Caenorhabditis elegans: one gene and its partners. The protein of the gene in region 1 purifies or fractionates together with the protein of each later gene. This does not show direct contact. Each region holds a gene or a part of one and is shown in the gene's direction. Other genes may lie near its edges. The genes, in order: gtsf-1, eri-5, rrf-3 and eri-1.

Region 1 (2,920 bases):
GGTTTAGCTCCTAATTTAACAATTTTCAGAAGAAAATGGCGAAAGTTTGAAAATTGCGGTTTATAGGTGAAAAAATCATGAAAATCGCGGTTTTTAGATGAAAAAATTATAAAAATTTGGATTTTTAGGTGAAAATATCATAAAAATCGCGATTTTTAGGCGAAAAATCGAAATTTTTTTGATTTTTTCACCTAAAAAACCCAATTTTTATAATTTTTTTCACCTAAAAATCCAAATTTTTATGATTTTTCACCTAAAAATCGCAATGTTTGTGATTTTTTCACCTAAAAATCGCAATTTTTATTATTTTTTCATCTAAAAATTCCAATTTTTATAATTTTTCAGCTAGAAATCACAATTTTTGTGATTTTTTCACCTAAAAATACAAATTTTTATGATTTTTTCACTTAAAAATCGCAATTTTTGTGATTTTTTTATCTAAAAATCCAAATTTTTATGATTTTCTCACCTAAAAAACCCAATTTTTATGCTTTTTCCCCTAAAAATTCCAGTTTTTATAATTTTTCAGCTAGAAATCACAATTTTCATGATTTTTTCACCTAAAAATCGCAATTTTTGTGATTTTTCACCTATAAATCCAAATTTTTATGATTTTTTCACCTAAAAAATGCGAATTTATCAATTTTCAGAAGAAAATGGCGAAAGTTTCCGAATATTCCGACCAAAAAATAGAGATTGCGAGCGGTTTGAAGGTTCTTCTGAAGGATGTCTACGGGAAATTCATGGAAGAAGAGCAAAAGTTCATTGAAAACCTGAATAAGATTCCAAAAGCACCGGAAACTCCGCCAAGCAGTTCTCCGTCAGTGCGAAGTCATCGTAAGAAGAAGCTTTCCGAGGGAGATGATGATGCTCCGTCGTCGGTGGATGAGAAGAAGCGCGGTCGGAAGAAAAAGCCAGAATCCGAGAAAGCAGTGGCCGCCGCCGAGCCACCGAAAATGTACTGCTGGTGTCAACTGGTAAGGGCTCCGTGAGCTTCCGCCGCCGCTTAATATCGCCAAATTGGGATAATTTCAGGATAAAAACGACACAATGATCGAATGCGAGAATCCGGGCTGCAAGTACGGATGGTTCCACTTCACATGCATCGGAATGATCACTGCTCCAGCCGGCGACTGGTATTGCACCAATGAGTGCCGTGCACAGGGTCTCGCGGCGGTTGCAGAGGCTCCGCAGAAGGCTCCACAACGAAAGGGATTGAAGAAGAAGAAGTGAATAATTGGTTTTTTTTCTTTGATTTGCCGCTTGTGTACCTATTTTATTTGAAAAAAAATCATCCGATGATCACAAAATTGTATTGGTTTGATCTCCCATTTTGCTTTATTATTCTATGATAAACTGAAACTTGTTTGCATATAAATTTCTGTTTAAAAAATTATTTTTTCTGACTCTCACAACGGTTCTGATGAATTTTATTCAGATTTTGAACTGAAAATTAACGATTTATTGATTAAACTTGGATTTTTGTTGGGTTTTTCCTTTAAAATTGCTGGATTTTCAATTTTTTCGGTGAAATCGCTGAAATAAATACATTTTTTCGAGCCGCTCCGCACGCCGATGCGTCGCGGTCAAGGCTTTTTTCCATGCCCACTCCTTGCAAAACCCCGTGCGGCACAATTGCGTGTAGATTTACGAAGCCCCGCCCAAGAATTTTTCCTCGATTTCATCCAATTTTTTTGGCGATTTTATCCAATTTTTCATCGAATTTATTGATTTTTCGAAATTTTAGATGGCGTCGGGAGAATCGGAGGCCCCTGGGACTTCAAAAAATGATCGATTTTCGATAACATGCCCTTACAATTCGGATCACAAGGTTGGAATTGATATATTTTTAATTTAAAATTAAAAATTTTATATTTCAGGTGTCAATGGAGGAGTTCAACACGCACTTGTGGAAGTGTCGCACGGAAAAATTGCATTTTTACCCGCATTCGTTGAAATTGAAGAGGTTTTTTTTTTGCTCAATTAATTTTCCAATTTTTCTATAATAATTATCATTATTTTTTTTAGATGCTCCTACAACATGCGTCACTTCCTTCCCGAAGAAGAGCTCCAATTCCACGAGATCTTCTGCAAACGTCAATCCGCCGATCTTCGACGCCAATTGTCACTGGAGCCGCTGGAGCTGAACGTGGCGGAGCACCTGGCGGCACAGAAGCTTCGGAAAGAGTACGAGAAGGACGAGGAGTCGCTAGATGGATCAGATGACTCGGATGAAGACGAGGAGGAGAAGAATCTGTCGGTGACGTCGGAAATCGAGAAATCGGATGTGGAAGAGGTGGAGATGATGCTCGAGACGATCAATCGGCTTGCTTACTTGGAAATGAAGAATGATAATTTAATTTTGTGATTTTATTTTTAAAAAAGTGGAACAAGTAAAATGAGAGAAGCATTTTTTTTTCAATTTTTGTGCTAAAACTATGGTACCGGGTCTCGAAACGAATTTTGAAAAAGCCACCAAAAAACCACGGATTTCTGGCTTCCCTCATAAATTGAAATGGAAGAGTTTGCCGAACTAGGCCATTTTGGCTCGGCAATATCTGGGGTAGATTTACGGCGCGTTGCGTGTCGCGTCGCGGCTCGGTTTTAGTGTCCATGTGGAGTACACGACTTTCCCACGCGTTGTCCGACAGGCGATTGTCAATGGAGCGCGAAAAATTCAATGAGAGGAAGGCCAGAACCCCGTGAAAAACTGGAAAAAGCCGATAAAAATTGAATTTTTTGGCGCGAAAATCGGAAAAGCACCCGGGAGGCGTCGGGACATCATCTATAACTATAACTTTTAACTTTTCTATAACGTAAATTCTATAGAAAAGTTAAACTTTAAAAAAAGTCAGAAACCCATGAAAATTATAAACAATCCCCACGTGGTCGCTGGCTGTCCTTTTTGCATAATTTTGAA
Region 2 (7,622 bases), about 14 Mb from region 1:
AGGTCGGTACGCAAACACCGTGACGCACAGATGCACACGAAGAGAGACTCGACGGAGACACGTTGTAGTTTTTGGAGAGTGGCGGGGTTTTCGTCTCAATTTATATTTATTTTTGACGATTTTTTCGGCGGAAATGTTAATAAATATTAATTTTGTTTGAATTTTCATTGATAATTAGGCATTTTCTTCCTAAAATAGTGGAAAAATACCCCCGAAAATACCGTTTTACTTCCCACTAAACATTTAAATGCATTTTAAAGCATTTTCCTTTCAGAAAATCGAAAAACCATGGGCAAGCTCACCAAGGAAGAGGAACTTCTGCTCTCGAGCTACTCGGCGACCAGCTCCACCAAGGGAAACCTCTTCTTCTACCTCAACGCGTTGATCATCTCCATCGCCCCGCTCTACCTCTTCTACGGAGTTCACCAGATGGAGGTTAGCCGGAAATTCTATCGGCTAGGAAAACCTTGTGAAACGCATTAAATTTTCAGATCCAAGACTCGCTTGTCGTGTGGGGACTCTCTGCCGTCGGCACTGCCTACCTCCTGTCCCTGGCCTGCAAAAACCAGAAGTGCCTTCTCAAGCATCAGTGAGGGTTTTTTTGAATTTTTAAAAATCGGAAATCGATTTTTCACCCCAATAAAAACCCCCAAAATTTTCAGAATCGTGATGAAGCGCGGATCAGCTGTGGAACGCGAGATCAGCGGACAATATGCTGCTGACAAGAAAATGACTGTTAAGGAGAAGGAGGAGCGCGCGCTTTTCCGCAAAAACGAGGTCGCCGACACCGAATCCACCTACTTGTCGGTCTTCTACACAAACTCGCTCTACTTGACCATCATGCTCGTCTCGGCGTTCTTCTTGCTCGCCAACGTGGCTCCAGTCTTCAACTTGCTCATCTCCACCATCGGATCCGCCGGACTCGTCGCCTTCCTCTCCACCGCTAAGAACTAAGCGATCTTTACAAACGGGACCCCCCTTTTTTTTCTCAAAAAGTTTCATGTATTTATCATAAAAAACGAAAGTTTAATTTATTTTTCCCCACCACCCACCCGCAGATTTTTTGTATAATAAATCCCAAAAACTAAAAATGTTTATTTTTTTCTTTTTTCCCAAGAATTTCAGGTTTATAATCCAGTCCAAGCTGCTTTTTTAATATGATTCTGCTCGTCCAAGAGAACTACACAGCTGTTGGGGCAACTGCGCTCCACTGAACAATTATTTTAGCGCGATTTTCTGATTTTTAACATTAAGAACAGCATTTTTCGATAAAACGCCATATTTCATACCATTTTCAGCGATTATAATTAATATTAAACGATTAAAATCGATTTTCGCCAGCGAAAAACACCAAAAATTAAATTTTCACCTCAAGACCAGGTGCTGCAAATGCGCTCTAGTGATAATTAGTTGAAAAACACGGGATTCTGTTAAAATATATGATTGTCTAGTTACAAAATTTGTGAAAAATGAAAAAAAAATTAATTTACAAAGTTTTTCTCATTAGAGCGCGTTTGAGGCATGCGGTCGGCGAGAAACTTGAATTTTAATTGATTTTTAGTGATTTTTAAGTAACAAAGTGTTTAAAAAAAGAAGAAAAATTCAAATTTCCCATGCAAGAAATTTTCCATCAAAAAATCGGATTTTCAGATGCTCTCGGAGGAGCCCTACGAAACGTATCACCCGGAATTTCCAGATCCAGAGATTCGACGAATAGCTCTAAAAAGCTCGGCAGTCGTCGAGCTGCTCCGAATCGAATCACCATCTTCATTTTTCTGCCGTCCCGTCGATCATGTCACCGATGATCAATTATTGATTCGCGAACCGTACCGCCTAACAACTCGAATTATCGATTTTTCGGCGGGAAACATGGCGATGGCTCCGCTCCGGCCACGTGTATTCGCTCGATGTTTAATTTTGAAAAATTTGGAGCTTATCGAGGCCGCCCGGATTTTTTTCATCGATTCTGCGGTCACTGCTAATGTTTCGTGGAAATGTCTGTTTCAAATTGATGAAAATCTCAAATTTCACCCATGGCAGGCGATGCATTGCACTTTGGGACGTTTGGTGCACCTTTCGGTCTGATTTTTAGCACTTTTTAACCCAGAAATTCAAATTTCCCGCCGATCGCATGTTGTAAATGCGCTCTATAGAGCAAAAATGTGTGCATTTTTCCTGATGAAAATCCACGGATTTCTGGCTGGCTTACCTCATAAATTATTGAAATGGAAGAGTTATTGCCGAACTAGGCCATTTTGGCTCGGCCATATATGGGGTAGATTTACGGCGCGTTGCGTGTCGCGTCGCGGTTCGATTTTAGTTATAAAACTAATGCGTTTGTCCGTGTGGAGTACACGGCTTTCCCACGCGTTGTCCGGCAGGCGATTGTCAATGGAGCGCGAAAAATTCGAGGAAGAAGACCAGAACCCCGTGAGAAATTCAAATTTCCCGCCGTTGCAAATGCGCTCCATGGCAAAAATGTGCATTTTTCCTGATGAAAATCGTAAAAAATTGACTGGAAAACTATAAAATAGAGATTTCCATCTGAAAATTCAAATTTTCAAACGAAATATTGAAAGTGCGCTCCATTGAGAAAAACCGGACATTTGAATTTTTGAGAGGAAATTGGGGTTTTTGATGGTTTTTTAACCTAAAAATGCTATTTTTCAGCTAAAATTGACCTGAAAAATACGAAAAAATCCAACAATAAACGGAGATTTTTCATTGGAGCGCACTTGCAACACGCAATCTGAATTTGAATTGCCCGCCAAAAATGTTTTTAAACAATTTACAAAAAAAAAATCGATTTTTTGAAAATTATTGATTTTTCAAAAATTATCGATTTTTTCAGGACTCATGGACAGACACCCAGTGCACCGAATTTCGAAATATTGTCTCTAAATTTGCAAAATTTCAAATTACCGCCAACCAGTGTGACGTGGATTTTCGCTCGGACCGCCCGTCTCTTCTCGTGAACCTGTACGGATTGCCAAATGGAACAGAAATCGATAAAAAAGTGGCGATCGAGGAGATTTGCGCGGTTTCTATGCAAAATGTTATGGTCTCTCAATTTCCCACTAATTTTATGGGTATAATTTTTGAATTTTTGGAAAAAAAAAATTTCGCGAAAATTTCAAAAACCCGAAAAACCCGAACAAAGTTTATATAACATTCGAATTCAGCACGCCGAGAGCTTTGATTTAAGTATAATCATGACTATGGGTTACGAGTAATTGGGTCCCACCACGAAAATCCCCGGGGTTACTGTAGTTTTTCGTGGTGGGACCCGGAAAATTTTCAAAATCAATGGAATCTGGTCATGATTATACTTAAATGGAAGCATTCAAACAGCTGAATTTGAATTTCATAGTTTTGTTTTAAAAAAATGAAAAATTTCCGAAAAATTTGGGTCTCGCCACGAAACCCCGAAATTTTTGGTTTTTCCGCTATTTTTTTGGTTTAAAACATGGAATGTGTTTAAAATGTCATAAAAAACTAATTTTTCTCAAACATTATCTAAAAAAAAATCGAAATTTGGATTAGTTTTTCATAGAAAATGTCAAAAAAGGAATAAAAAATTCAAAAATTTTTGTAAAAATCAAATTCACTACATTTCTAGCTTCAATTTAAGTATAATAATGACCAATTTTGCTAGAATTTGAACAAAAAATCGGGTCCCACCGCGAAAACTACAGTACCCCTGAGGTTTTCGTGGCGGGACCCAACTTTTTTAAAGATTTAGCAAAAAAGGTCATGATTATATTCAAATTGAAGCTCTCAGTGAGACACAATCAGTCGAAATATGAATTTTCAGAAAAAAATTAATTTTGAAAAATTTTGGTTAAAAAAAAAAAAATAAAAACATTTTTTTTTTTTTTGAAAATTTTTTTCCAGTCAATCCCAAGCTCGAGGAGCTCGACAAAGAGCAAGACCACCTCGACGTGATTCTTCTCGAAGAGTTCCGCCGGGACCTCCCAGCCGACTGGGCTCACGAGCCGCCTGCCGATTACCGTGAAGACGACGCCGACTGGGATATACTGCAGTGCCACGTGGCAGAATGGAATGACACGGCACTCGAGCAATTCCGAAGAGCCGATGGAAGCTTTTGGGCGATGCTCGAGCCGAGTTGCACCGTATCACCCTGGGAAATGCACGTTACACCGATTTTGGCACCGGAAAAGATGTCTGGTACGGTGGAAATTGAACAATTTTGCTCGAAATTCTGCTTAAACTCGCGAAATAAAGCGAAAAATTGAGTAAAATGGCGAAAATTGACCCAGAAATTTGAAATTTCCCGCCGACCGCATGTTGTGCAAGCGCGCTCCAATGAGAAAAGGGATAGCGGAGCATCGTACTGAGCACAATTCGAATTTTTTCAGATAATGAACATTGGATTTTCGAGCAGCTCGTAAAAAACTCGGAAAATCAGCAAAAAATCGACGATTTCTACTCGAACCTCAAGAATCAGCGGCCGCTAGAGATGGAAGAAATGTTAGAAAATTTCGAATTTTCAGTGAAAAATGTGAAAAATATGCGGAAATCGATTAAAACCTGAAAAATTATGCTAAAAAATCGATAAGTTCGCCGAAAATTTGAACTTGGCGCTGTTTTATCGATGGAGCGCATTTTTAACGGCGAAAGATTGAATTTTCCGCCAAAAATCGATGTTTTGAAGTTTTTCTCAATAGAGCGCACTTTCAACAGCGAGAAATTTGAATTTTCCACCAAAAATCGATTTTTAAAAGTTTTTCTCAATAGAGCGCACTTTCAACAGCGAAAAAATTGAATTTTCCACCAAAAATCGATTTTTTAAAGTTTTTCTCAATAGAGCGCACTTTCAACAGCGAAAAAATTGAATTTTCCACCAAAAATCGATTTTTTAAAGTTGTTCTCAATAGAGCGCATTTTCTACAGCGAAAAATTTGATTTTTCGTCAAAAATCGATGTTTTTGCTTTTTTCCCAATAGAGCGCATTTTCAACAGCGAAAAAATTGAATTTTCTACCAAAAATCGATTTTTTAAAGTTTTTCTCAATAGAGCGCATTTTCTACAGCGAAAAATTTGAATTTTCGCCAAAAATCGATTTTTTAAAGTTTTTCTCAATAGAGCGCACTTTCAACAGTGAAAAATTGAATTTTCCGCTAAAAATCGATGTTTTTGCTTTTTTCTCAATAGAGCGCATTTTCAACAGCGAAAAATTTGAATTTTCCGCAAAAAATCGATGTTTTGAAGTTTTTCTCAATAGAGCGCATTTTCACCAGCGAAAAATTTGAATTTTTCGCCAAAAATCGATTTTTTGAAGTTTTTCTCAATAGAGCGCATTTTCAACAGCGAAAAAATTGAATTTTTCGCCAAAAATCGATTTTTTGAAGTTTTTCTCAACAGAGCGCGATTACACCAGCGAAAAATTTGAATTTTCCGCAAAAAATCGATGTTTTGAAGTTTTTCTCAATAGAGCGCATTTTCACCAGCGAAAAATTTGAATTTTTCGCCAAAAATCGATTTTTTGAAGTTTTTCTCAATAGAGCGCATTTTCAACAGCGAAAAAATTGAATTTTTCGCCAAAAATCGATTTTTTGAAGTTTTTCTCAACAGAGCGCGATTACACCAGCGAAAAATTTGAATTTTCCGCAAAAAATCGATGTTTTGAAGTTTTTCTCAATAGAGCGCATTTTCACCAGCGAAAAATTTGAATTTTTCGCCAAAAATCGATTTTTTGAAGTTTTTCTCAATAGAGCGCATTTTCAACAGCGAAAAAATTGAATTTTCCGCCAAAAATCGATTTTTTGAAGTTTTTCTCAATAGAGCGCATTTTCAACAGCGAAAAAATTGAATTTTCCGCCAAAAATCGATTTTTTGAAGTTTTTCTCAATAGAGCGCATTTTCACCAGCGAAAAACCGATTTTTCTATTTAAATTTTTTCCAGAAAATTCGCCCTCCAAACCGGCCGAACCTACGTGATGGCAACCATCAAAAATCGCCAAAAATCGTCGGCTCAATGGCTCCGTTGCGAGATTATCGATTTTTTGCCGAACGCCAACGTGGCTCTTCGCTACGTGGATCTGGGAACACGTGGCATCCTGAAGCTCAAAAATTTGCACCGAATGCACATTGAGCACACAAAAATCGCGCCGGCTTGCATTGAAATTGGCCGATTTCTCGACGACGATTTATCGATGGCCGACAGCGAAATGGAGTGGAATACACATTTTTGGCGTGAAATTGTACCCTATGACGTGCCGATCGTTGTCGGACCCGATATGGGTGAGAAATTTACGGATTTCTCTCTGGAAAAGCGACAAAAATGCAATTTTTGCATGTTCCTGTGCGCTCCATTGATAATTTTACCCGAAATCACAGAATTTTACCAAAACTTCACTATTTAACTCAAAAATTCAAATTTCGCGCCGAGAACACCTGAAATTTTGGTTTTTTAACTGAAAAATTCGAAATTTTCATGGGATTTCGCCGATTTTGCAAAATTTCAAATTTCCCGCGCCGGCGGCCTCGTGTCCCAAATGCGCTCCATTGACAAAAATTCTCCTGCGGAACAATTCGATCGATTTTCAGGGGAAAATGCGCTCCATAGCTAATTCGCGCGAATTTTCGTCAAAAATCGATAATTCCCATGTGCGGAATATATCGGAGCATCGTAAAAATCAATAATTTTCCAATCATTTCAGAATTCCTGGAAACCGGCAAACTGCAATTCTCGCAGATTCGGGTCGCCGGCGACGAAGACGACGAAAATTTGCTCGATAAAATCCCGTCGCCGTCGCCGTTTTTCACTGAACGATCCGACGATTTACGTACCCAGAAAGAGGATGATGATGATGGAAATGTTAGCGACGATAAGGATAGCGGATGATTTTATTGATTTTTTCGCATTTCTCCCGTGAAAAATTGCAAAAAAAAAATCGATAATCCACTTGCCCGAGAGGAGTACAAAATCGATAACATAATTTTTTCCTGTTTTTTGTCATGTATTTTATAATATCGATCTCCTCCTCGTTTTAACGATCTGTTTGTTTTACGTGAACGTGTTAAATTATCGATTTTTTACGATAAAAATCAATAAATCAATATTTATTCCAATGGAACAAGCAGACACGTGTATTTTCCAGCGATTAGCGTAGTTTTCATATCTTCCGAAAGTGGGTCATCGGATTGTTGTGGCTGGATTACGAATGTTGGGATCTGGAAATTATCGATTTTTTGGTAGAAAATAAATACTTTTAGTGAAAATTTTGAAAATTTTGACCAGGCGTAGGTTTAGGCTTGGGCTTAGGCTGAGTCAGGCTTAGGGCTTAGGCTTGGTGTCAGTGACGAGCGTGAGCTCTCGACAACCAACTCGACAACCAAACCGGGATTAAGTTGAAATACTTCCCTTGTTAGGAACAAACCCAATTTGAATAAATCATAGGAAATCCCCCCAATCCGACAAGCCTAAGGGCCCGAAAAACATACTAGGATTCGGGCCCTTAGGCTTGTCGGATTGGGGATTTCCTATGATTTATTCAAATTGGGTTTGTTCCTAAGTCTAAATAACCCTTTTTCTTTTCTTTTGCGCTCCAAGCGCAAGGAAAAACCTTCTTGTAGACTTTTTAAGAGGGTTTCTTATA
Region 3 (7,899 bases), on another chromosome or scaffold:
AAATATCGGCTTCCGCGTAACTTTTTGCAGTATAGGCTACACAAGCTTCTTCGTGACGAATCAGAGGGTCATTCGGTGCCCGAGCAACTGCTTCTCCCATGAACTTCTTGCTCAGCTTCTGACTATGCGTACTGTACTGAAGAGAAGTGTACAAGAACGGTTCAGAACTTTTATCCACAAGTTTCGACGCTCTGTAATAGCAACTCATGGACTGTTCGTGTTCAACTTCATAGTGAAGAATATGACCAAAAGCCACCCATCCTTCAGCAAACGTCGAATCCATCATCGTGCATTTACCTAAAGAAGCTCTATTTAAACCTCAATGAAATGGGAAACATACTGATGAAATTTCGAGCTCTTGAGTTTGCTCCAATACTATAATAATACATAGCAACACAATACCATGGAAGTGGAATATGAGGATCATCACTAACTAGTTGATGACCTAATTCAAGCAGAGATCGAGAATCCTTTAACATTGTTAGGCAGTGAATACGAAGAATAATGCACTCAGGATGTGGTCCAAATAGATCAAATAGCTCGTCAGTGATTTTTTTTGTTTCTCGAAATCGACCCATCTCGTAGGCACGTTGAGCACGTTCCATAAGAATTCGTGGATCATGATTTCCTTCGTGTAACTTCAGCTGTTCATTTCTGACTTTTCTGTACTTCTCCCACATCGCAGGCTCAACCAGATTGTATTTTGCCATTAATCGTTCGACATGGAGAGTTGTATTATCCTGAAATAATAAAACACGGTCAAATCATGTATAAAAGATGACTTACAAGACTCAGCGCGTAATTAATACAAATCATTGCAGCATCACGATTCATCAATTTCAAAAAACTTTCTGCTATGGTTATCATAAGAGCTGGAACCATTCTGAGCTTTTTAGAGCTATTATCCAATTCGGCCATATTTGCAAATGAGTACTTCATTCTTTCTTCCTCGACATATCTCCCCGTCACTTGTGAAAGTGTTCGAACAGGAAGAGGTCCAATTTGGCCATTACTTGGAAGAAGATGACCGACCGATAATTCAGCTACATCTTCGTATAATTTCCGTTGGAAAAGTGCGGTAGCGGCATAATAAGCAAAAACAATGTGAATCTGATGATAGTTCCCACGAGCAATAATATGGCTAATACGCCGCCATTGACGGAGAACGACGAGAATTTTTACGTATTCAGCGATGGTGACAATATCTTGCTGTTCATCATCAATTATATTAGAGTATAATGTATCCGCGTAAGCTACAGCTTCATCGGTTCTGCCGATTTCAAGCATTTCCCTAAAAATATAACATATTAATATATATGCTGGTCTCAAACTGACATCACTTTCTCCATGCTCGCCTCGTCATAATACTCCGATCCATCAATTCTACTTGCAAGTGTTTTAATCGGCTTGAAACGAATAGACTCGTGTTTCGGCAAATCTCTGAAAAATTGTAGTTTGAAAAAGAAATGTTATTTATTAAACTCACAAAGATGATGCTGGCTTGCTTGAGGAACCTTCATCAGCCAATGTCGGAATCGCAAAACTTTTTGTATCAGGCGAGATCGCGCTCATGCTGTAAAGGCTTCGTATATTTGTTTAGTAAGTAGAGAACTTAAGTTAAGCAACAAGAATTGTAAAATAGAAATTCAATAATGACGTTAATTGCAATGGAACTGTTGTGAAAAAGTGTTGAGATTATAGTCTTATTTTTAGATTATAATTTTACAGCTTACACGGAGTAGTTACAGCTACTTTAACTAAATAACATAAAGGCGCGCCTAGGCGCTTAAAAACAAAATAAAAAGGATTTAATGCTTGATCAAATTTAAATTTTAGCCGTAACTGCGGAGTCTCGTTGCTAATTGTCAATGGAGCGAACATACATCATCAAATTTTTGAATAAAATTGTTTCTCATTTTTTTCGTAAAATAAATGCCATTTTCAAAAAGTCTTTCACAAAATGCTCCCGTTTGATAATGATGACTCTAGCGATGATGCTACAACTTCTGTTAGGCCGAAGCATCCAAGGTAATTGAAATTCGGTGAGCAAACGGTAGTCAAATGAAACAATGTTTTTTTCCAGAGGAGTTCCTCAGAGTCAATCAACATTTCCACGTGGTAGATCGAATTTTTCGTCTGGAACTTTACCAAATCGAAAAACAGAATGCACTCCAGTGAACACCTTAACAATTGGGCATTCAAACAAGATGCTATTGACAACGTTTCGGATGGATCGAAATTCAAAATCTAAATCGGAAGTTGACGTACAAGAACAGCCTGTTCACTCTTCATCGTCGGCTTTTCCAGGAAATCATTTAAACAATTTTTCGTATCCAGTGAATCGTGGATATCTTCGTGATTACCTGCTACAGTCACAAAGGCCTTCTACTTCAAAACCAGTCGACTGTTCTGTTCTAAAACGGCACTCTCTCCCATCAACTCACATTCTTTATGAGAAAACGAAGCACAGAGGTGGTGTAAATATCGAAGAACAAGAAAAACTCGTGCGGATGTTATGGGCCGCTGCAGAAGAATCGGAAACAGTTGCGAAGACGAGACAGTTTAGTAAAAAACAGGCGATTGAGCTGAATTTCGATGCTAAGCTCATTGGCAGCATGAATAATGATTGCTTTGGATATTGCCGAGCACACATGGAAAATATAAAAGATGTTTTGAAAACACACTTGAAATTGGTAAGCGATTTTTTAATTGGCCGTATTTGAAACAATTTAATTTCAGTCTAAAGTTGACGAGGTAAACTGGATCAAGGTGGGGATGGTGCCACGAGCTGCGTACGAAGATAAATCATACGTCATCGATGCTCATTTAGTTTTGACGCCAAACGGTGAAGTAGAAGATGAAAATGAATTGTTCTCCGAGTTCGCATCAAGTTTCACATCTAGAATAACTGGAATGCTCCATGATCAAGTATTTTTGGAAGTCCCGAAAATGCATACGCTTTTCACAAAAATAACGTAATAGAATACTCATCCGCTTTTTATATACTCAAGTTATAATTTAGACCCCAACACATGGATATAAATATTTCTGCGATTGCGATTGGAAACTGCCCTAATTCAGGACTTTTCCTTGTTAGAGGAGATTTCATCAGTCAAGAAAACACAGTTTGTAGTGTGTAAGTTGCACATATTCTACAGAATTTCTAATCAGATTTTTGTTTTTAAGAAAGCTTCAGTCACACCATAATGCAGATGCATCCCGTGAAAACAGTTCATTCAAAGTGGCAGGAAGCAATAAATACCTCTCGTATGCGAGATTTGAGCATGACAAAAGACTGGCAGTGGTATATTTCGGAGTTCGATTAGCCGAATTCGCTGATGATGGTTTGGATCATGCCGGATTTCGTCTTAATCTATATTATAATTTGTTTGTTCGAATTGTTGTCGACATGTCTCATGAAACTACGAACAGTATTTATATACAAATGAAAAATCCACCGCATCTCTGGGAAGGAATTCCGAAAAATACGATTTTTCACCCATCAAAGTCGAAGGTTCTCAATATGGAAACGTGCACAGAATGGGTGATATGGTATGCAAATAACTTTTAAAAACTTGTAAATTTTCAGACAAGAGTATTGAGTTGGCCTGGCGATGCTGAGGGCCGAGGTGTCGGTTGTACTTCTGAAGCTTTCTCGCAAAGCTCCTGGATCCGGTTGACAATGAGAAAAGATGATGATAACGATTCGGTATCGTCTACACAATTGATGGATATTGTTACTAGACTTTCTGCTCGAAGCAAAGCAAAAGTGATGTTCGGCTCCATTTTTTCAATTCGCCGAAAACTTGCACCATCCCCGGCTTTCCATTCTCTGGGATCTTTCCGAGCGAATTATGCTCTCCAGGCTCTAATCACACGCGGAAGTGTATTTACGGACCAACTTTTCGACGCAACTGATGAAAATATTCCAAGTTCAGACAATGACAATGATGAAGATGATGACGATGATGTTGATGACACGAAAAAGCCAATGGAATTAGTACACGAGCCGCTCTTTCTGAAATTAGTTCGTAGGGGAATGAAAGAATGCTCTCAAGCCACAGAAGAGACTCTCGAACAACTTTTGAATGCATTTGATGAACGTCGTCAAATCGATGTAGTTACCGCGTTCACAACAATGTATCAATCAAGAAAGATTCAATACGAAAGACTTCTGAAAGGAGAAAGCCTTCAAGATGTAGGCCTTGCAAAGCCATTGCCGAAGAATTGTGTTTCAGTGGCTAAAGTTATTGTAACACCATCTCGAATACTGCTAATGGCTCCAGAAGTAATGATGGTAAATCGAGTTGTTAGAAGATTTGGACCTGATTATGCTCTTCGTTGTGTGTTCCGAGATGACAATCTGGGCCGGCTCGCTATTCGCGACTTTTCCATCAATAATATAGATCGTAAGAAATTCTTTAAATATTTTTAAATATATTATCTAAGTTTCCAGACATGTCGAATATTGTCACCGAAGGAATTTATTTGACTCTCAAAAATGGAATTCAAGTTGCTGATCGTGTCTACAGTTTTCTAGGATGGAGTAATTCTCAAATGCGTGATCAAGGATGTTATTTATACGCTCCTCGAGTCAATGCATTAACTGGTGAAGTCACAGGAACTGTAGAAGATATTAGAGTATGGATGGGAGATTTCCGAGATGCGATTAGTGTTCCAAAGATGATGAGTCGAATGGGACAATGCTTTACACAAGCACAACCAACGGTATATTCTAGTGTTAAAAATATTCATATAGTCGAAAATATTCAGGTACGTCTTGAACGACATCACTGGATCGTTGAACCTGACATTGAAGGTGGTGTAGAGAACAAATATTGTTTTTCTGATGGTTGTGGTCGAATTTCTATCAAACTGGCAACACATATATCTAAGATTCTCCAATTGAAGGAAGTACCAGCTTGTTTCCAAGTGCGATTTAAAGGTTTCAAAGGAATTCTAGTTATTGATCCAACAATCGATGATATTATAAATATGCCTAAAGTTATCTTCAGGTAGTGATGATCTATCAAACAAATTATATGATCAATTTTCAGAAAAAGTCAGCAAAAGTTTGGTGAAGGTGGTGGAGAGCTGCAAGATGAATACCTCGAAGTAGTAAAATACGCTATGCCATCTCCAGTTTGTCTCAACCGTCCATTCATTACAATCCTGGATCAAGTGTCGGAAAAACAATCTGCAAGCTCTCACAGAAGGATCACAAATCGTGTTCATTATTACTTGGAAAGAGAACTATGTTCTCTGAGTAGTATGTAGTTACTGTATGGTTACAAATCATAATCTCCTAATTTTAGATATGCTCATAAATGAAAATCAAGCAGCAGAAGAGCTAGTCAATCGCACAAACTTGGCAATCGACTGGAACGCAGCAAGCAAACGAGCCGGGTTCGAATTGAGTGTAGATCCATTGATACGAGATATGCTATTCTCTATTTATCGCTACAACATCATCCATCACATTTCTAAAGCTAAAATTTTCTTGCCTCCAAGTTTGGGAAGATCAATGTACGGTGTTGTCGATGAGACTGGACTTTTACAGTACGGACAGGTTTTCATCCAGTATTCACCAAGTATCCGACAAACCAGTAACCGTCCAATATTGAAAACAGGCAAAGTTTTGATTACCAAAAATCCGTGTCACGTTCCTGGAGATGTTCGAGTTTTCGACGCAGTTTGGCAACCAGCATTAGCTCATTTAGTCGATGTTGTAGTATTTCCACAACATGGCCCACGACCACATCCCGATGAAATGGCAGGTTCAGATTTGGATGGAGATGAGTATTCTATAATATGGGATCAAGAAATGCTACTCGATTATAATGAAGAAGCAATGGTTTTTCCGAGTAGTTCAGCTGCAGAAGAAGACAAAGAACCTACTACAGATGATATGGTTGAATTCTTCCTTCGATACCTTCAACAGGATTCAATTGGAAGAATGAGTCACGCTCATTTGGCTTATGCTGATCTTCACGGACTTTTCCAGTATGTTCCTTGAAATTATCCATGTTAAGCCAATATCTTATTTTTCAGCGAAAATTGTCACGCCATCGCGCTCAAATGTGCAGTAGCTGTAGATTTTCCGAAAAGTGGAGTTCCCGCGGAACCATTGTCAAGTTTCGAGCAATGCGAAATGACACCTGATTATATGATGTCAGGTGGAAAACCGATGTACTACAGTACCCGATTAAATGGACAATTGCACCGAAAAGCTCGAAAAGTTGAAGAAGTTTTGGAAGAATTTGAAACACGCGGGAGTGTATTCGAAAGAGAATATGATAAACTGATTTGTCCAGAAGACGTTGATGTTTTCTTCGGAAATGAAATAAAACTTGTACAAACATTGACTCTTCGCGATGAATACGTTGATCGAATGCAACAACTTTTGGATGAATATGGAATTGAAGACGAAGCTTCAGTTGTGTCTGGACATGCTGCAAGTATCAAGAGATTAGCTGGAATGGAGAGAGACGACTATTCATTTTATCACACTGATAAGGTCGTTGAGCTTCGTTATGAAAAATTGTATGCTGTATTTCGTGCAAAATTCTTTGAAGAGTTTGGTGGAGAAGAAATCAACATTGAGAATGATGGAAAGAACACTCGGTTGAAATGTACGAAGGCAATGCATGAAAAGATTCGGCAATGGTATTTCGTGGCATATGTGCAGCCAAAGATAAATAAGGCTGGAAGATGCATTGGACAGAGTCTTCCCTGGGTTGCTTGGGATGCATTGTGTGATTTGAGGCGACAATTAGTAAGTTAAAATTATGAAATAAATATATTAATTTTTTGTTGCAGATGCTCGATAAAAATGACGCAGTTTTACGAGGCAAATATCCAATTGCTGCTCGTTTAGAAGAGGAGATCGAAAACTCCATTGAAAGGCAGTTTGACAAGTTTCTCAAATTGAAAGATTTGATTGAATCTCACAAAGATGCGCTTTTCCTGAGACGATACGTATATTTTTATGGAGATCAGATTATAAAAATGTTGTTCATCCTGAAAGTTTGGCTTGAACGAGAAAATGTGCTCCCATCAAGTGTTTTGTCGATTTGGCAGCTGGGAAGACTTTTGATTCGTCTAGGGCTCGGAGATCTCCTGGGAAATCCCACTATTGATTATGAAAAAAGTCTTCTGATGCCAACAACAATGTTTCAGCAATGGATTTCGAAGAAAGAAGATGCAGATGAAGCTCCGATATTGAGAAATTTCGATATGGGAACAATGATGCTCGAATTTCTCAGATATTTGGCAAGGTAAATTTAAAAATCTAGTGTTGGAAAAATTTTTCAATATTTCAGTCAATCTTTCGCATCAGCTGAAAGCATAAGTCTTCGAGTTTTCTACGAAAAAGATATTGTTGAGCCAATACTTACTAAAAGTGCACAATGGATGCCTTTACATCTTGTAAGCTCGATCTTTAATATTCCAGATCTATCAACAAAAAACATATTCCAGATTGCATATCGTACATTTCATTCCATCGCTGTGTCTGGACGGTTTGATGCGCTTCATTTGGACGATGAGGATGCGGTGGATCAGATTACAGAAAGCAAGGATCCAATACTAGTTAACGAGTCATTGTTCTCTTCGAGAAACTACAACGATGATTATCCGATCAGTAGGAGTAGAATATTGCAATCTTTGAAGGTAAGTGGTTCGAAAATACTTTTCGTTTCTAGTGAAAAACTTTCAGGATTGGTCTGGTGTCAAAGAAATAATTCCTCGCGAAATCACTGGAACTCGGAAGTCTGATATGATCTATGTTACATCAGTTGGAACGGTTCTTGCACGACAACGCCTCGCTCGACTTTTACTTCTCAGTGGAGAGACAATTAGGGACGCGATTGCCAACAACGTCGTGCCGAATGAAGTACG
Region 4 (6,685 bases), about 16 Mb from region 1:
GCCGGCAACTGAAGACGAACTTCCTCCTGCGAGGCTACCGGATAATGTGCGAAGATTTCCAGTCGTCGGCGTTGATTTCGAAAATCCGGAAGAAGAATCGTGTGAACACAAAACCGTAGAGTCAATAGCTGGTTTTGAACCACTCGAACATCTATTCCATGAATCATACCATCCAAATACGGCCGGTAACATGCTGCGTCAGGATTATCACACTGATTCGGTGAATTTGGTTTGAAATTTTAAATTTTGGAATTGAAAGTGAACTTTTTATATTATATGCGGGACCCCTCAATCTACTCACCTTCCTAGGTGTAATTTTTCTAATAATTATTCCTATTGCTATAGTTTCTAATTATATTTCTATATTATCAATATTATAATGTTTCCTCGCTGAAAACCTGCGTATTCATTCGTTGCCAGTGGTAAGTTATATTAATTTTCATTCAGATTTTTAGAGAAATATTTTGAGTATTTAGCTATCGTTATTAAAATAATGATTTTCGTATTGTTCTTAACATTCTGTTAGGTGACTATTTTCTTGTATCGTTGAAGTCCATGCTTCAAAAACAACGACTTTTTTGGCTTAAATACGCTTTCAACGTCGAAAATATTGCCTTAACATCACTTTGGGCAAATTTCTTATTTTGAATTCGATATGCTCGTTTTATTAGCTTCCAGAAAATATAACATTCGACCCATAACTCTCTGATCACCAAAAATAAGAACTCCTAGTAAGATCAAAAACTATCGGGAAATGTTGAATGTATTTTCAATATTTAACTTTCAGGAAGTGAAAATAGCTGAACAAGAGGCAAAAGCCTTCGTTGACCAGTTGCTTAATGGACAAGGTGTATTACAAGAGTTTATGAAGCAATTCAAAGTACCATCGGACAATTCCTTTGCTGATTATGTAACCGGACAGGCCGAAGTTTTTAAAGCACAGATTGCGTTACTGGAGCAGTCGGAGGATTTTCAACGAGTTCAAGCGAATGCAGAGGAAGTCGATCTTGAACACACTCTTGGTGAAGCGTTTGAGCGATTCGGGCACGTTGTAGAAGAATCGAATGGTTCTTCTAAAAATCCAAAAGCCCTGAAAACTCGAGAACAAATGGTGAAAGAAACTGGCAAAGACACTCAGAAGACCCGCAATCATGTGCTTCTACATTTGGAAGCTAATCATCGTGTGGTGAGTAATCTTTTTTATTTTTTATTATGTGATTAAAATGTTAATTTTTCAGCAAATCGAGCGTCGTGAAACGTGCCCGGAGCTACATCCAGAGGATAAAATCCCAAGAATTGCTCATTTTTCCGAAAACAGCTTCTCGGATTCGAATTTTGATCAAGCTATTTATTTGTAAACCTAAAACAAAACTTTTAGAAGATTTTCTTCTTACTGACCCTCCAATTTTCAGATAATTTCAATGTTTTAAGTTTTCTCTTCAAAGTATCATTCACTTTCTGTATAGTGTTTTGTTTTTTAACAAACTATTGTTCGATTATTTTGTATATTCATATTATAGCTCTCAACTTCCCGATTTTCCACGTATATATGTATATTTTGCCGGGTGAAAAATAGCAATTCCCTATGAATGTATCCCCTTCCATCTGTTTTCTTACTCAGAAATTGTAATTCACATTGCGGGTCATCACTAATCCTATGGGCTTTAACACAATTCTCCCATAAATTAATTGTACTTACCAATTTTTTGTTTAATTATTTAGATTTGTAACATTGAAATTGGTGATAATTCCAAAGAAAAATTATATTCTCCGATACATAGAATCTAGGCGCATTCGAATTTACATTGTTTTTCTAAAATTTCAGTTAAAAAATGAGCGCAGATGAGCCGTCTCCAGAAGACGAAAAATATCTGGAAAGTCTACGAGATTTGCTGAAAATCAGCCAAGAATTCGATGCAAGTAACGCAAAACAGAATGACGAACCAGAAAAAACAGCAGTTGAAGTGGAATCGGCTGAAACCAGAACCGACGAATCTGAAAAATCAATCGATATTCCACGTGAACAGCAACTTTTACCCTCCGAACGTGTTGAGCCTTTAAAATCAATGGTGGAACCAGAATACGTGAAAAAAGTGATAAGGCAAATGGATACAATGACTGCTGAACAGCTAAAACAAGCGTTGATGAAGATTAAAGTGTCCACAGGGTAAAATTATGCTAAATTCATTCAAACTTCTTATTTTCCTAACAGAACCCAATTTCGTACATTTAAGATATAGCTTTGCTTCATTTTTGATAGTTTTGTTAAAAAGAAACAGCATTTTTTGAATCATTTTGCGTTAAATATAGTCATCCGTAAAAGAAATAATGTAATTTTCTTACTAAAATTTCGAAATTAACTTAAATTATAACTCTAATTTCAGCGGAAACAAGAAAACTCTTCGAAAACGGGTTGCACAATATTATCGAAAGGAAAATGCATTATTGAATCGAAAAATGGAGCCGAATGCCGATAAAACTGCACGCTTTTTTGACTATTTAATTGTATGATTTTCAGAATTTCTGGAAAAGAAATACTTTAGTTATTAATTATTTCAGGCAATTGATTTCGAGTGTACGTGCGTCGAGATTATATACGATTACCCACACGAAATCATCGAATTACCGGCAGTTTTGATCGACGTTCGGGAAATGAAAATTGTAGGATTTTTTCATCTTTGAAAATGGAATATGTCGAATTACGCATGTCGTGTACTCCCCGCGGACAAGGATTGAACAGTTCTCAGTTGAAATTCTTGATTTTGGATTTTTCCTCTGGGGTTTCGGCTCGAATTTTATTTTTTTTTTTCGTGTTTTCCCGCAAGAAAATCATTTTTTCCGGGAAAAGGTGACAAACGTTTCGTCATCCTATCGAAATCTGGAATATAAAAATGTATTCAACAAAAAACGTTTCAAATACAACATTTTTCGTCTTTTTTGGGTTTCTTATTTAGCTATAAAATTTGTTTCGCTTGTGAAGAAAATATTGGAAAAAAATAGAAAAATCCTTCTCCCATTTTTCAATTTAAGGCAGATGGAAGTTCTTTGGTGTATTATCAAGTTATAAAAACTGACTAAACTGAAAGCTTTTTTTGTTTTGTTTTGTTTATTTATTTTAGGAATATAAATAAAAAACGAAAAATATATAACTTTATAATATCCATCGTCAAAATAAGCATATTTAATTTCCAGATCAGCGAGTTTCGAACCTATGTCCGACCTGTCAGAAATCCGAAGCTCAGCGAATTTTGTATGCAGTTTACCAGTAAGACACTAATGTCATTTTTAAAATGTAAACCCTGTTGTAGAAATTGCCCAAGAAACAGTCGATGCTGCTCCATATTTCCGAGAGGCTCTTCAACGGCTGTACACATGGATGCGAAAATTCAATCTCGGACAGAAAAATTCCAGATTCGCATTTGTTACTGATGGGTAAGGAATCGAAGACGATTTTTTGTTCACTAAAACTTCAAAGTTGTGCATAACGAACTATTCAGACCTCACGATATGTGGAAATTCATGCAATTTCAATGCCTTTTATCGAATATTCGAATGCCCCATATGTTCCGAAGTTTTATCAACATCAAAAAGACATTCAAAGAGAAATTCAATGGACTTATCAAGGGAAATGGAGTAAGTTTTTAAGGTTCAAATTTTAATTAAAACCTCAATTCTCTTCAGAAATCCGGAATTGAAAACATGTTAGAACGTCTGGATCTGTCGTTTGTTGGAAATAAACATAGTGGATTGGATGATGCAACGAATATTGCAGCGATTGCGATTCAAATGATGAAGTTGAAAATTGAGTTGAGAATTAATCAGAAATGCTCGTATAAGGAGAATCAACGGAGTGCTGCGCGAAAGGATGAAGAGCGAGAGGTTCGAAACAGACTACGTCGTTTTCACCCGATGGGTTGACTCTCCCATTCGGTCTCGGGTGTCAACAAGTGATTCCATGTTTTGAAAAAAGCTCTTCCCTCAACCCTTAAAATTTCGATATGAAATTGTTTCAGTGCATTTTTCACTAATTTGGAGACCTGTTGAATTGCTCTAAATGTTTTTTTGCAAAGTTCAATGTTTTTCAGAACGGTTATAAGTAGGTGAACACTCTGGGAGATTTTTGGACTTTTTTTTGTTGTGAAAATCTGAACATTTTTGGATCAAGTGGAGTGAAGAAACTTTCAGATTTTTTTCAAAAAATTACAAATTTTTGAAAAATCTCCCAGAGTGTTCACCTACTTCTAAACGTTCTGAAAAAACATTAAAGTTTGAAAAAAACGCATTTGGAGCAATTCTACAGGCCTCCAAAGTAGTGAAAACAGGCACTGAAACAATTCCAGATCGAAATGAAGTCTGACGATAAAATGGAAACCTTTCCTTCTTGTTAGGAAAATTAGGAAATAGTTCATCACAAATTTCAATTAAAAAGTTATTAAATTTTTCAGTTAGAAGACGCTGCAAACGTGGATCTTACATCAGTCGATATCTCTCGTCGTGATTTTCAACTTTGGATGCGTCGTTTACCACTGAAACTGTCCTCTGTGACACGACGAGAGTTCATAAATGAAGAGTATTTGGATTGTGATTCATGTGATGATTTGACTGATGATAAGGTGAAACATCTACATTCTTGTGATATTTATGAAATTTTCGATGAAAAAACTTCAGCTAGTTTTACAGATTCAAAGTGTTTGATTTGCTAGGCGAATTTTGGCAAAAGTATACTTATTGATGTAAACATTTTCCCTATCAATTTTGTGTCTTAGCCAACGAATTTCCAAATTTTATTTCAAAAGTAAAATTCCATGTCAAATTTTACATTTTTAGTTTAAAAATTATGTTTCTTCCAAGCCCACATTTTTCATTGAAACTGGTATAGTTGTATTTGATTCGCCCCGAATAAATAATTTTCTGTTTCCATGTTTTATACACACAAAAACTCAAAATTTTCAGAACGACGAGGCGGCATTCCAGGAAAAAATGGCAATTCGAGAGTATTTGGAGAATAAACAGACGGAAGATTTCGCGAAAATTGCTGCTGAGCGGGGAATTTTTAAAATTGGGTAATGGACTTTGGATGGAATTTTGAACAAAAAAATCTAGTTTCTGGCGTTTTCAGTGAAATAAAATCATATCAAACTGCAAGACCGATAATAGAGGATGATGACGTGGATGTTGAAAGTGAAGAGGAAGATTATGGAACTGAATTTGAAATGTTGGAAGTTGTGGTGAGAATGTTGAGAAAAAACACTTCAAAAATATCAATTTTGTTTTTAAAAATCAACGCCACGATTCGATGAATCGAAATTCAAAAATTCTCCGAAAAAGCGGAAAACTCTGCTTTTGAAATCAGAAATTTGCAATGTTTTCCGGGATAATCGAAAATTTCTTTCAAAAAAAAATTAATGTAGGTATAAATTTCAGATTCATCGTGGTGTGGATTTTAAAAATCCGCGAGAGAAAAAAATTCTGAATAACTAAGCTTTTCGATTTTCGTATAATACAAAACCGAACTTTTATTTTGTTTTCAAATTTTAATAAAATTCGAGCAAAAAACCAAATCGATTTGGAGTTTTAATAATTAATTTTTTCGTTCAGGAAAGAATGCCTCCAGTTAGTTCTACGTTACACACTGAAGTCGATTTAGATGCTGTATGGGAACGAGATGGTGGAAGTGATTCTGAAAGAGGTACGTCGAGGGAATTGCAATATGGAAATTGCATTAGAAAAAGCTTGAAATTCTGTTTGATTAAAATGTCAATTCAATTGCTCCCAAAGTTTAAATTATTGAATAGCACTTAAAAAACATAATTGTGAAAATTCAGAAAACCTCTCAAATGCTCCAAGTCTCCACGAGTTTCCATCGTCATCCACATCATCACCACATGCCACGTCAGAACATGTGACGTCATCATCACCACTTCATATCGACGATGACGTGGACCGCGTGTTGAATGCGCCGCCCAAAAATTCGTTGGCATCGTCTTCAAATCGATCTAGTTTCTAGATTTTCTTGTATACGAATTTAATTATTTTTGCAGGTTTTGTAGTATTCGAGTATTTCATTTTCATTTTTGATCTCAATTTTTTTTCGCTCCAATCTTTTTTCTCCTTTAAATCGCGTTTATATGAAATTTGTCACATGTTTTATTTAGGTTATACACGGATGACGTTTCAGATGGTATTTATTTGTATTTCTTTTGGAAACCCGTTGAAAATAGGAAAAAACAACAATAATGTACAGAAAATGATAGGAAATGAGAAGAATGAGCAGTTAAACTAGTTATTTGTTGCCCGACACATTTGAAATCCCCACGAAGCCAGGAGAAGCCACATTGGCAAAAAAACCATCCCATACGTATTCCGATTTGCAACTTCTGATTTCTCCAACTCTCCACTGATTTTTTCAACGATGAAGTATATGAAGAGCGTGATGCATGTGAGACGGAATATGTTGAGAATTACTCTGAAAAAAAAATATATATTGCATGTTCAATTTTGAATTTTCTGTTTTCACAGATGATTCGCATTTGGTCTGTCGCAAGTAGGAACACGTAATTTGCGTTCAACGGGCTATAATTTCGCAGTTATGTATTCCTACGGACTGGTCTCGCCACGATCTTTCCGGCGGCCGCTTCATTTTAATAAGAGTTTCAGAGTTGTAAAACCATTTTTGGAAAGACCA

Evidence for each region.
Region 2: the proteins of gtsf-1 (region 1) and eri-5 purify together in Caenorhabditis elegans (affinity purification with mass spectrometry, with the first as the bait; one study listed by BioGRID). This does not show direct contact.
Region 3: the proteins of gtsf-1 (region 1) and rrf-3 purify together in Caenorhabditis elegans (affinity purification with western blotting; one study listed by BioGRID). This does not show direct contact.
Region 4: the proteins of gtsf-1 (region 1) and eri-1 purify together in Caenorhabditis elegans (affinity purification with mass spectrometry; 2 studies listed by BioGRID). This does not show direct contact.

Annotation. Positions count from the first base shown.
Region 1 is NC_003282.8:16,864,093-16,867,012, forward strand, and holds gtsf-1 (CHHC U11-48K-type domain-containing protein), read left to right. Parts: upstream 1-1,747; coding exon 1,748-1,831; intron 1,832-1,880; coding exon 1,881-1,966; intron 1,967-2,028; coding exon 2,029-2,368; 3' UTR 2,369-2,412; downstream 2,413-2,920. Other genes in the region: ING family member lsy-13, read left to right, coding at 1-1, 651-977, 1,036-1,233.
Region 2 is NC_003282.8:2,389,171-2,396,792, forward strand, and holds eri-5 (Tudor domain-containing protein), read left to right. Parts: upstream 1-1,650; coding exon 1,651-2,079; intron 2,080-2,851; coding exon 2,852-3,089; intron 3,090-3,894; coding exon 3,895-4,188; intron 4,189-4,379; coding exon 4,380-4,491; intron 4,492-5,303; exon of another isoform or gene 5,304-5,366; intron 5,367-5,513; exon of another isoform or gene 5,514-5,576; intron 5,577-5,926; coding exon 5,927-6,264; intron 6,265-6,683; coding exon 6,684-6,868; 3' UTR 6,869-7,086; downstream 7,087-7,622. Other genes in the region: trap-3 (Translocon-associated protein subunit gamma), read left to right, coding at 289-435, 492-589, 663-954; Y38F2AR.10 (Major sperm protein), read right to left, coding at 7,087-7,197.
Region 3 is NC_003280.10:8,160,598-8,168,496, forward strand, and holds the start of rrf-3 (RNA-directed RNA polymerase), read left to right. Parts: upstream 1-1,867; 5' UTR 1,868-1,960; coding exon 1,961-2,028; intron 2,029-2,083; coding exon 2,084-2,693; intron 2,694-2,739; coding exon 2,740-2,975; intron 2,976-3,022; coding exon 3,023-3,136; intron 3,137-3,186; coding exon 3,187-3,544; intron 3,545-3,589; coding exon 3,590-4,409; intron 4,410-4,456; coding exon 4,457-4,728; intron 4,729-4,773; coding exon 4,774-5,015; intron 5,016-5,057; coding exon 5,058-5,269; intron 5,270-5,315; coding exon 5,316-6,003; intron 6,004-6,051; coding exon 6,052-6,775; intron 6,776-6,819; coding exon 6,820-7,277; intron 7,278-7,322; coding exon 7,323-7,428; intron 7,429-7,479; coding exon 7,480-7,671; intron 7,672-7,717; coding exon 7,718-7,899. Other genes in the region: emb-27 (Cell division cycle protein 16 homolog), read right to left, coding at 1-297, 341-740, 787-1,291, 1,336-1,440, 1,487-1,572.
Region 4 is NC_003282.8:415,099-421,783, reverse strand, and holds eri-1 (3'-5' exonuclease eri-1), read left to right. Parts: upstream 1-1,825; 5' UTR 1,826-1,832; coding exon 1,833-2,167; intron 2,168-2,384; coding exon 2,385-2,505; intron 2,506-2,559; coding exon 2,560-2,661; intron 2,662-3,192; coding exon 3,193-3,265; intron 3,266-3,308; coding exon 3,309-3,432; intron 3,433-3,497; coding exon 3,498-3,633; intron 3,634-3,681; coding exon 3,682-3,879; intron 3,880-4,445; coding exon 4,446-4,613; coding exon of another isoform or gene 4,614-4,703; exon of another isoform or gene 4,704-4,916; intron 4,917-4,953; coding exon 4,954-5,063; intron 5,064-5,119; coding exon 5,120-5,228; intron 5,229-5,598; coding exon 5,599-5,689; intron 5,690-5,825; coding exon 5,826-6,007; 3' UTR 6,008-6,149; downstream 6,150-6,685. Other genes in the region: Phosphatidylinositol 3,4,5-trisphosphate 3-phosphatase and dual-specificity protein phosphatase daf-18, read left to right, coding at 1-220, 788-1,186, 1,239-1,358; T07A9.12 (uncharacterized protein), read right to left, coding at 6,280-6,466.